Linked DNA regions of Oreochromis niloticus. The protein of the gene in region 2 binds, or shares a complex with, the protein of the main gene of each other region. Links are inferred from orthologs where the notes say so. Each region holds a gene or a part of one and is shown on either strand. Other genes may lie near its edges.

What was found. The genes of interacting proteins can lie anywhere in the genome.
Region 1: the proteins of agt (region 2) and ren are in contact, whole or in part, in a crystal structure (PDB 6I3F), measured with the Homo sapiens proteins. The link is inferred for Oreochromis niloticus from reciprocal best matches to the Homo sapiens genes AGT and REN. Residues at the interface, in NP_001369746.2 of Homo sapiens: Asp25, Tyr28, Ile29, His30, Pro31, Phe32, His33, Leu34, Val35, Ile36, His37, Asn38, Glu39, Lys91, Leu92, Ala95, Met96, Met99, Leu100, Phe103, Arg107, Arg148, Ala151, Ile152, Gly154, Gln353, Gln354, Asn355, Asn358, Glu391; in NP_000528.1 of Homo sapiens: Tyr81, Met82, Thr84, Gln85, Val102, Asp104, Gly106, Ser107, Asn109, Ser118, Arg119, Leu120, Tyr121, Thr122, Val125, Tyr126, Leu147, Arg148, Tyr149, Ser150, Pro181, Ala182, Leu183, Pro184, Met186, Leu187, Ala188, Glu189, Phe190, Val193.

Annotation. Positions count from the first base shown.
Region 1 is NC_031984.2:14,940,810-14,944,562, reverse strand, and holds the start of ren (renin), read right to left. Parts: upstream 2,497-3,753; 5' UTR 2,294-2,496; coding exon 2,217-2,293; intron 1,814-2,216; coding exon 1,666-1,813; intron 1,316-1,665; coding exon 1,192-1,315; intron 984-1,191; coding exon 865-983; intron 755-864; coding exon 552-754; intron 1-551. UniProt on the Homo sapiens protein: Renin is a highly specific endopeptidase, whose only known function is to generate angiotensin I from angiotensinogen in the plasma, initiating a cascade of reactions that produce an elevation of blood pressure and increased sodium retention by the kidney.
Region 2 is NC_031978.2:13,537,169-13,540,921, forward strand, and holds the start of agt (angiotensinogen), read right to left. Parts: upstream 2,224-3,753; 5' UTR 2,082-2,223; intron 652-2,081; 5' UTR 614-651; coding exon 197-613; intron 50-196; coding exon 1-49. UniProt on the Homo sapiens protein: Essential component of the renin-angiotensin system (RAS), a potent regulator of blood pressure, body fluid and electrolyte homeostasis.

The DNA.
Region 1 (3,753 bases), on a different chromosome or scaffold from region 2:
CAACACATATAAAACACAAAACATTTATTATATCTTTTCACTATTTCATTTCCATATGGGACGTTCCTTTAGCTTAAGTTAATTCTTTCGTATGGCACTTCCCACAGTAAAAGAAAACATCATAATATTTTTTCAACTGGTTTATTCTGGATATAACCAAATATAATAAATGACAAAGAACTATGAGAAAATACACATAAATTTTTTTTTCTATTTTCTCACAACACCCTTGTGTCTCACCCAGATCCAGATCCATCTCGTACGATCTTGGGTTTTTTCTTCTAATTCTAACTTTTTCAGCTCAACAAGTAGAAATTGAAAAAACGTGATCCTAAAATCTAACAGATGTTCTGACGAGACATTATTTATGGTTATAGTGTTTTTCTCTCTGATTGATCAATTCAACACTTGGCAGCAAGTTCATTTTTTCACTGCAGCATAAATATCGTTGACAGCTTGATACATTTTCTTCAGCATCTAAATTATTGTCATTATTTTTTCCTCGCGCAAAAGCCTTTCATATAAAATGTCAGTTCAGTTGATTTACTTACACCCACCTGCTGTAGTAGATGGAGAAAACTTCTTCTTTGAGGACGTGTTGAGACATGATACGATCGAACACCGGGGTTATGCCATCAATGGCCACGTTGGGGTATCCCATCCCCAGCACTCCATCAAACTTGGCAAAGATGAAGGGCATGGCAGACAGAGCCGTGGCTTCAGCAAACACTTGCACTACTGGGATACCACCAACCTGCAGCAATAAAACACTGCTAGTCAAAAGTTTAAAGTGTAGTGTGCAAGAGGAAGTTTAAAAAAGAAACAAAACCCATTTAATTTGTAGGTTTCTGACTTGAAACTCACCACAACCACATCCTCACTCAGGAATCCCCTGACATTTCCAGAGGCATACTTGATGGAAAATCCTGTTCCATTCTCAATGTAAGTCCGGGATTTTGAAGCATCATACCTGTTGTGAGTAACTGAAAGTTGAAAAAGTATTTAAGTCCAACAGCGAATGTTTACCTGGGAAGTTTTAATGAACAATGTTCCCTAAATATTGCATCTATTTTTTCGGGGGGGGGGGGGGGGGGGCAGTGAGCATAAACTAACGTTGGCATATTGTCATCTTCTAAGTTCATTAAGTTCACTAAGTTCAGAAAAAAAAAAAATGTTTGAATATGCACTTACAACATGCAGTGGAGAATGGTGAGCAGCTTTGCGAGGGCACCCACAGGTTGGCTGAGCCCGTGTCAAACACCACATTGAACATCTGGGCCGGAGAGCCAATACTGATTTCTCCAAAGTACTGCGTCTATTGAAAGTGGAAAAATGTCCCACGTCATTGTTGTTTGAATAGTTTTTCAAAGGTTTTCCCACGTCTTAAATGTCACTTTTAAGGCCAATGACAGAGAAACGTGGAAAGTCTGACTCATACAAAGAGAATATTTCAAGAGACTAATTCAAAGGCAAGTCCATCTGCTGTTGTCTTGAAGACATCTCAATGCTCATCCAAGAGCAGAGATGAAACCTTTAATCATAGAGGCTAAAGTCTGTTTCTATCTTCAGAACTGAAATAGCAAACCCAGGTGGTTTCAGTGCTACATTTTCTATCACCTCTATCATCTGTAGCTCTAATCAATGGATCACATTAAGCTTTCTCACATCCAAATAGTTGGTTAGTGGCGTGGGAACAGTTCCGTTGTTGGTGTCAGCTATGCTCTTCTGGGCCAGCTCAGTCATCACCTGCTCAACAGAAACCCCCAGCTCCTGCAGAGTCTCTCTGATAGATGGCATCTTTTTCAGGGCAATTCTGAAACCAGAGCGGGCAAGGGGAAACATTCTGAATGAATCCAAAGAGGAAACTCGATAGCTAAGGACATGTTAAAGAGGTACATGGAGTTTATTTTCCGTGCTATGTATCTATTACATATGTCTGGTGATCATCTCAGTATGAACCTTTAACAAAGTACAGACCGCTTTGCTCTCAGCACCTAGCCAAATAGATGAACAAAAACACATGTGAACCCAAATGCTGAAATCATTAGCTTTTGTAATGAATCAATAAAACACATTTGTTTTCATGTCCTTATATAATTTATGGTTTACTGTCATTACATTTCTCCAGAATGTTATCTATAATGCTAGTGCAGAAATCCAGCGAGTTAGATCCTTTAAGCAAATCATGTAGGCATGCAAATGATTCTTTTTTTTACCTTCTCAAAGCGTGGCTCGTGGTCACTGTCAGTGATAGAGCAACCAAATATATCCACTGATTTATCAGTAGTGCCATGGTGACTTCTCAGATGGCAGGAGGAAAATCCAGGCCGCTGATGTCGGTTCTGTATACAAAAGTTGGTTTTCCTGGTTTTGTGAAAGCTGTCTCTTCTTCTCTCTCGCTCTCTCCGATATCGTGCACCTCAACTCTTTTTATACCATGCCCTCTTTTAAGTGCTCTCACCCATGGGCCCGGCTCTGGTTGGGAGCTTTCCTGGAGGTGACCACTGGAAAACAAGCCCTCTTCCCTCCCCTCACCTTGCACTCTACCCCTCTGCCTTGATCACACAACCTCTTCTGTGATAAACAGGTCCCAGTGAAAGATGTGAACTCTGACCCTTTAAAAAACACTGATGACAGAAAGCAGGGGTGAAGAGGTCTGCAGATTGGTGACGTAGGTAACCTGGAGACCTTGTGTGAAGGGCTGTGAGAAAATTCGAAGCAACCAAATGATGCTTTGAGTTGTCAGGACAGATTAGCTTGTTTACTAAAGTCAAATACAAGCCACTTTAAATCCAGATCTCGCTGTGCACTTTTACATTATTTCTCTAATCTGCTGATGATTTCATTTTATTAGATCAGGGGTGTGAAATTAGTTTTAGTTCATGGGTAGCCTGCCCAGTGTGATCTGAAGCAGACCAGACCAGGAAATCTAATCCATAATAACCCACATAAACACCTACAAATGTTTCCCTTTCACTTTGGATTAAAGAAGTGCATTTTTGAAAAATGTTCACATTTCTTGAACCAACCATTTACATAGGTCATAGGAGATGTCTTTGTCAAAACACGTGATAATCAAGACAGAATTGAGAAATTGAGCACCTGTGTAACTCAGTGAGTGAGCAGGTACCAATATGCACCATGGCCCAAAAGTAGTGGCCTGGGTTCAAGTCTGACCCGTGGCCTTTTGCTGCATGTCTTCCCCTCTCTCTGCTTTTCTTTTTGTCTCTACTGTCACTATCTAATAAAGGCAAATGCTAAAAAAAATAATATTAAAAAAAGTTCTCTGCAATTTTCTGGCAAGTGATGTAGGACCCTTTGGCAAGCCAGCTGTGTCTAATAACATTAGATGGGATTTTGTTCTTGAAAATAACAAAAACAATGATAATAATAATGATAAAAAAACAAGATTAATTTTTATTAACCAAATGTTCCTATTAAAATCCAGTACGACTTCAGTTTTTAATCAAAGGTCTTGTTGTGGTTTTTAATGTCTGCATTTAACACACCTTTGAATTTCTTCTATGTGAAACAGTCAGGTTTTACACGTCTGCAGTCTTCTTCTGATGTAAATTGAGAGAAGGGAAGGACAATGCATATCTGTAAGTTCAGTTCAAGGTAGGGATGCACCGATACCGATACTGGTATCGGGTATCGGTGCCGATACTGTAAAATGTGTGCGTACTCGTACTCGTAAAAGTTAACCGATACCATGAACCGATACTCATAATTCCCATGGACTTAAACGCCACG
Region 2 (3,753 bases):
AGGACACGCAGTCCTCTCCATCAGTTTCCCTACTCAGGCCTAGTAGAAGCTGGATAGAAAGAAATGAATTGAGGTTGTTTACTTCTTTGTAGAGTGAAAGTACAAGACTTAGTCAGATAATCTGATGGATGGTCAGACACATAGCCTAGGCTCAGCAGGTTCTACTTCAACAGTGACAACAAAAGTAAATAAATACCTGGAATGAACCTGCTGTCTTCCTGGAGGCTCCCAGGTAGAAGGTGACCAGGGATCCAAAGGTGTTGACTGGAGATAAGAGGGTGTTAGCGCTGTGCTGCTTGCTGCTGAGAGCCTTGTACATCCTCAAGCCCAGAGCATTTAATAGCCCTGCCAAAACTGCTGTCCTCTCTGTGATGTTTTGCCTCTGTACATCGACTTTTGATGGATCCCTGTGGTCCGGAGTCAAGACTTCATTGTCAAGGGGAGCCACAGGAAGTGTCTCCAGAGGCTTAACCATGGGGGCCTGCAGGGTCTCACAGCTGACATTCTCAGCAGCAAAAAGATAGAAGGGGTGAACGTAGACTCGGTTGGCTTGGCTTCCTGAGAGGCAGCAGTATAGTAGGAGGACGAGAAGAGGTGACCACAGTCTCTGCATTTTACCTTTGGTTGGAAATTACCCTAAAACGGTTGTCTCTGTTGGTTGGAGAGACATATATTTAGTTATTTCAACCTCAATCACCTCAAGTATAACTGACCATTTTCTGTGTCAGCCCGGCTAGGAGAGCGCTGAGTTTGAAGTCTTCTGGGAATGTTACATGACTTTTTGGTCAGCTTTCATCGCAAATCAGGCTCAATCTGGTTTTCAGCTTGTATATGATTGGCTGGCAGGAACACTGGCCGCAGATCCTGCATGTCAGAGATTGATTGAATTCTTTGTGCGCTTTCTCTCCTGCTGGTCAGTGAGTGAGAGCAGACATTACCCTCGGCAACAAAGGTCGCATAGATAATGAAGACTGTGTGTGTGTGCGTGTGTGTGTGTGTGTGTGTGTGTGTGTGTGTGTGTATTTGCATATGTTCACTGACCCAAATAAAATGGGAAACTTTGTATTCTATAAAAATTAATCTTGAAACGACAGGTACAAACTTAGTGTGCTTAAAATAAAAAAACAACTTATTTATATTTTGTTACTAACTTTTTTGTGTGTTTAAATGACAATTCTACAAATACAAAACAAAAAAACTACATAAAAAAACCCAAAACACATAGAATGAAATAATCAATAGAAGTACAAAACAAACTTTCACAGCTGCATAAATGCATAATTTATTTTATTAGTGTGTGAATGTGTGCGTGAATGGGTGGATGACTGGATGTGTAAAGCGCTTTGGGGTCCTTAGGGACTAGTAAAGCGCTATACAAATACAGGCCATTTACCATTTTTACCATTTATAGGGCCAATTTTTAAGTTCTAAGTTATTTTACTGGACAGTTTTCTAAAGTCAAGTAACAATTTTCATTAATTCTATGAAGGATTAGTCTACAAAGCTGTGAAGCAGAGTGACTTTGGTAAGTGCTCTCTTATGCAAAAATAGGACTTTATCCTTTGACTTGAACATGCATAAGTGTGGACTGATGAACTCTTAGAAGCGGTGAGCAAACACTAGATTTTCATCTATTAGGACATGTACCACAGGACATGGCCTTGGTCTCTGATCAATAAAACCAGTGCACTCAATGTTCCTATACACAACCAACCTATTGTGTACCTGCTGACTCTATAACAGAGGTGGTGAAAAAAAAGGCTACTTCACAACTTATGTGCTTTGTGAGGTCCAGAAATGTGAATAGTTTTCTTGAAAATATATTTTTCATAAAATCTCTTTCTGTATATAGAAATTTTCAGAAACAAATTTTAATTTAATTTTAATTTAGATGTAAATACAAACAAAACATTCAAAGCTTTGTTGTTCGCCAAATTAAAACATTCTTGCTTTTCAACACATTTAGTTTTTAATTCAGCAAAGCACTCTGGGAAAAAAAATCCCTCCTCATCTGTAACAGTTCAAACTACCACACAATCAAAAAGCAATTACTAAAATATAGGAAAAAAAAATTCTCTTACCAGATGGGTCTGCTGTTGTTGCTGCTGAATGAGGTGCTAAGTGAGATCCTGACTCCTCTGCACTCTTACTTTAACCCACCCGGCCAGCTGTGTGCTCCCACTCTAGTTACTGATTAACCAAAGTACCATTGAGTCAGTCAGGGGCTCTCCTGTCATGACTCACATCCTGCTTTGTACAGACAGAGCTTGAGATATAGATAAATAGGTTTGAGAGTAGGTTTGGGAGACCACCCAGTGCCCTTTTATATAATGACTTTAGTAGAATGGTGCAAGAAAATCCTGAATGGGGTGAAAAGGAGAGCTCAACTTCTATAAAGAAGTGGGAAAAGGAGGGATAAACAGTCTTGTTTCAGTTTGCCATCTTTCTAGGGTGATACACTGAAAAGTCACCATATTGCACATGTATTTATTCGTATGGGGGGATGTTGTGTTCTGTATTGATTACGTATGTTCTTTGGAGTTTTTGCTCAACCTAGACGTCAAAGAGGAATTGAGGAAACAAGTTTCATTCAACCCTGAGATCAGCAAATTTTAAGAATAATAAGATTTTCTTGCTTTTTTTTTTTTTTTTTTTTTTTTTTTACCATAATGGATCATATGTCTCACATTATTTATTCCATATAATGCATATTTTCTTTTTAGTGTACTTTTAAAATAACACTCACTAAGCCAGATTAACAGAGCGACTCTGCAGACATCTCTGTAACATTTTAATGAGTCTTGAGGGTGTTATCATTGGAACAAGAACTATAAAATAACCCCACCTGTTCTGGGAAAAGAGCAAACACTTTTCAAATGTTCAAATAGCTCTTTATGAGACAATGCGTATCATATTTTTTTATCTTAAAATTATTATCTGTGACTACAGTACAGAAAATCCGTCACACTCACACCTGATTCAACAGGACAAGGCACACTAGATTTTCTCAGCGGAGAGAACCATCATCAGGTCAAGTGTTTTACACTCCTGCTTTTATCTTTAACAAACACTGTGACACCGTTAATGGGATAAGAAATTTTATTTGACCTTTCACTTCATGTAATGTTTATAACAGTGCGAAGGATTGTTCTTTTATTTGTCACTATCTCAGACTAATACAGTATGTCTTTTCTAATATCACAGTCTCTGCAACATTCCTTTAAAATATCAAATAATTTTCAGTTCCATTCAGATATTTTTTTAAATAGTGCCTCAAGATGCTTTAAGCTACAACAATAGAAAGAAAATCCCAATAATCAGATGAACCTCTGTGAGCAAGCACTTGGCAACAGTAGGAAGGAAAAACGTCTTTCTAACGGGCAGAACCAGACTCAAGGAGGTCCAGCTATCTGCCGCAACCAGTTGGGAGTGAGGAGAAAGAGAAGAGACTCAAGGGAGACAGGACACGCTGTGGGAGACAAAGCCAGAGCTAAATAATGACACATGGAGAGTGAAAAGGAAGTAGAGAAGAAATGCTCAGTGCATCATGGCAGCCTAGGCCTATTGCGACATAACTATGGATGGTCTAACAGTAAGCTTTATTGTAAAGGAAAGTTTAGACTCTAATCTTAAGGTAGAGAGGGTGTCTGCCTCCTGAACCTGAATTGGAAGCTGGTTCCACAGCCGAGGGGCCTGAAAGCTGAAACTCTAGATCCATGAGTAAGCCAGCAGTCTGGGAGCAAAATACTCTGT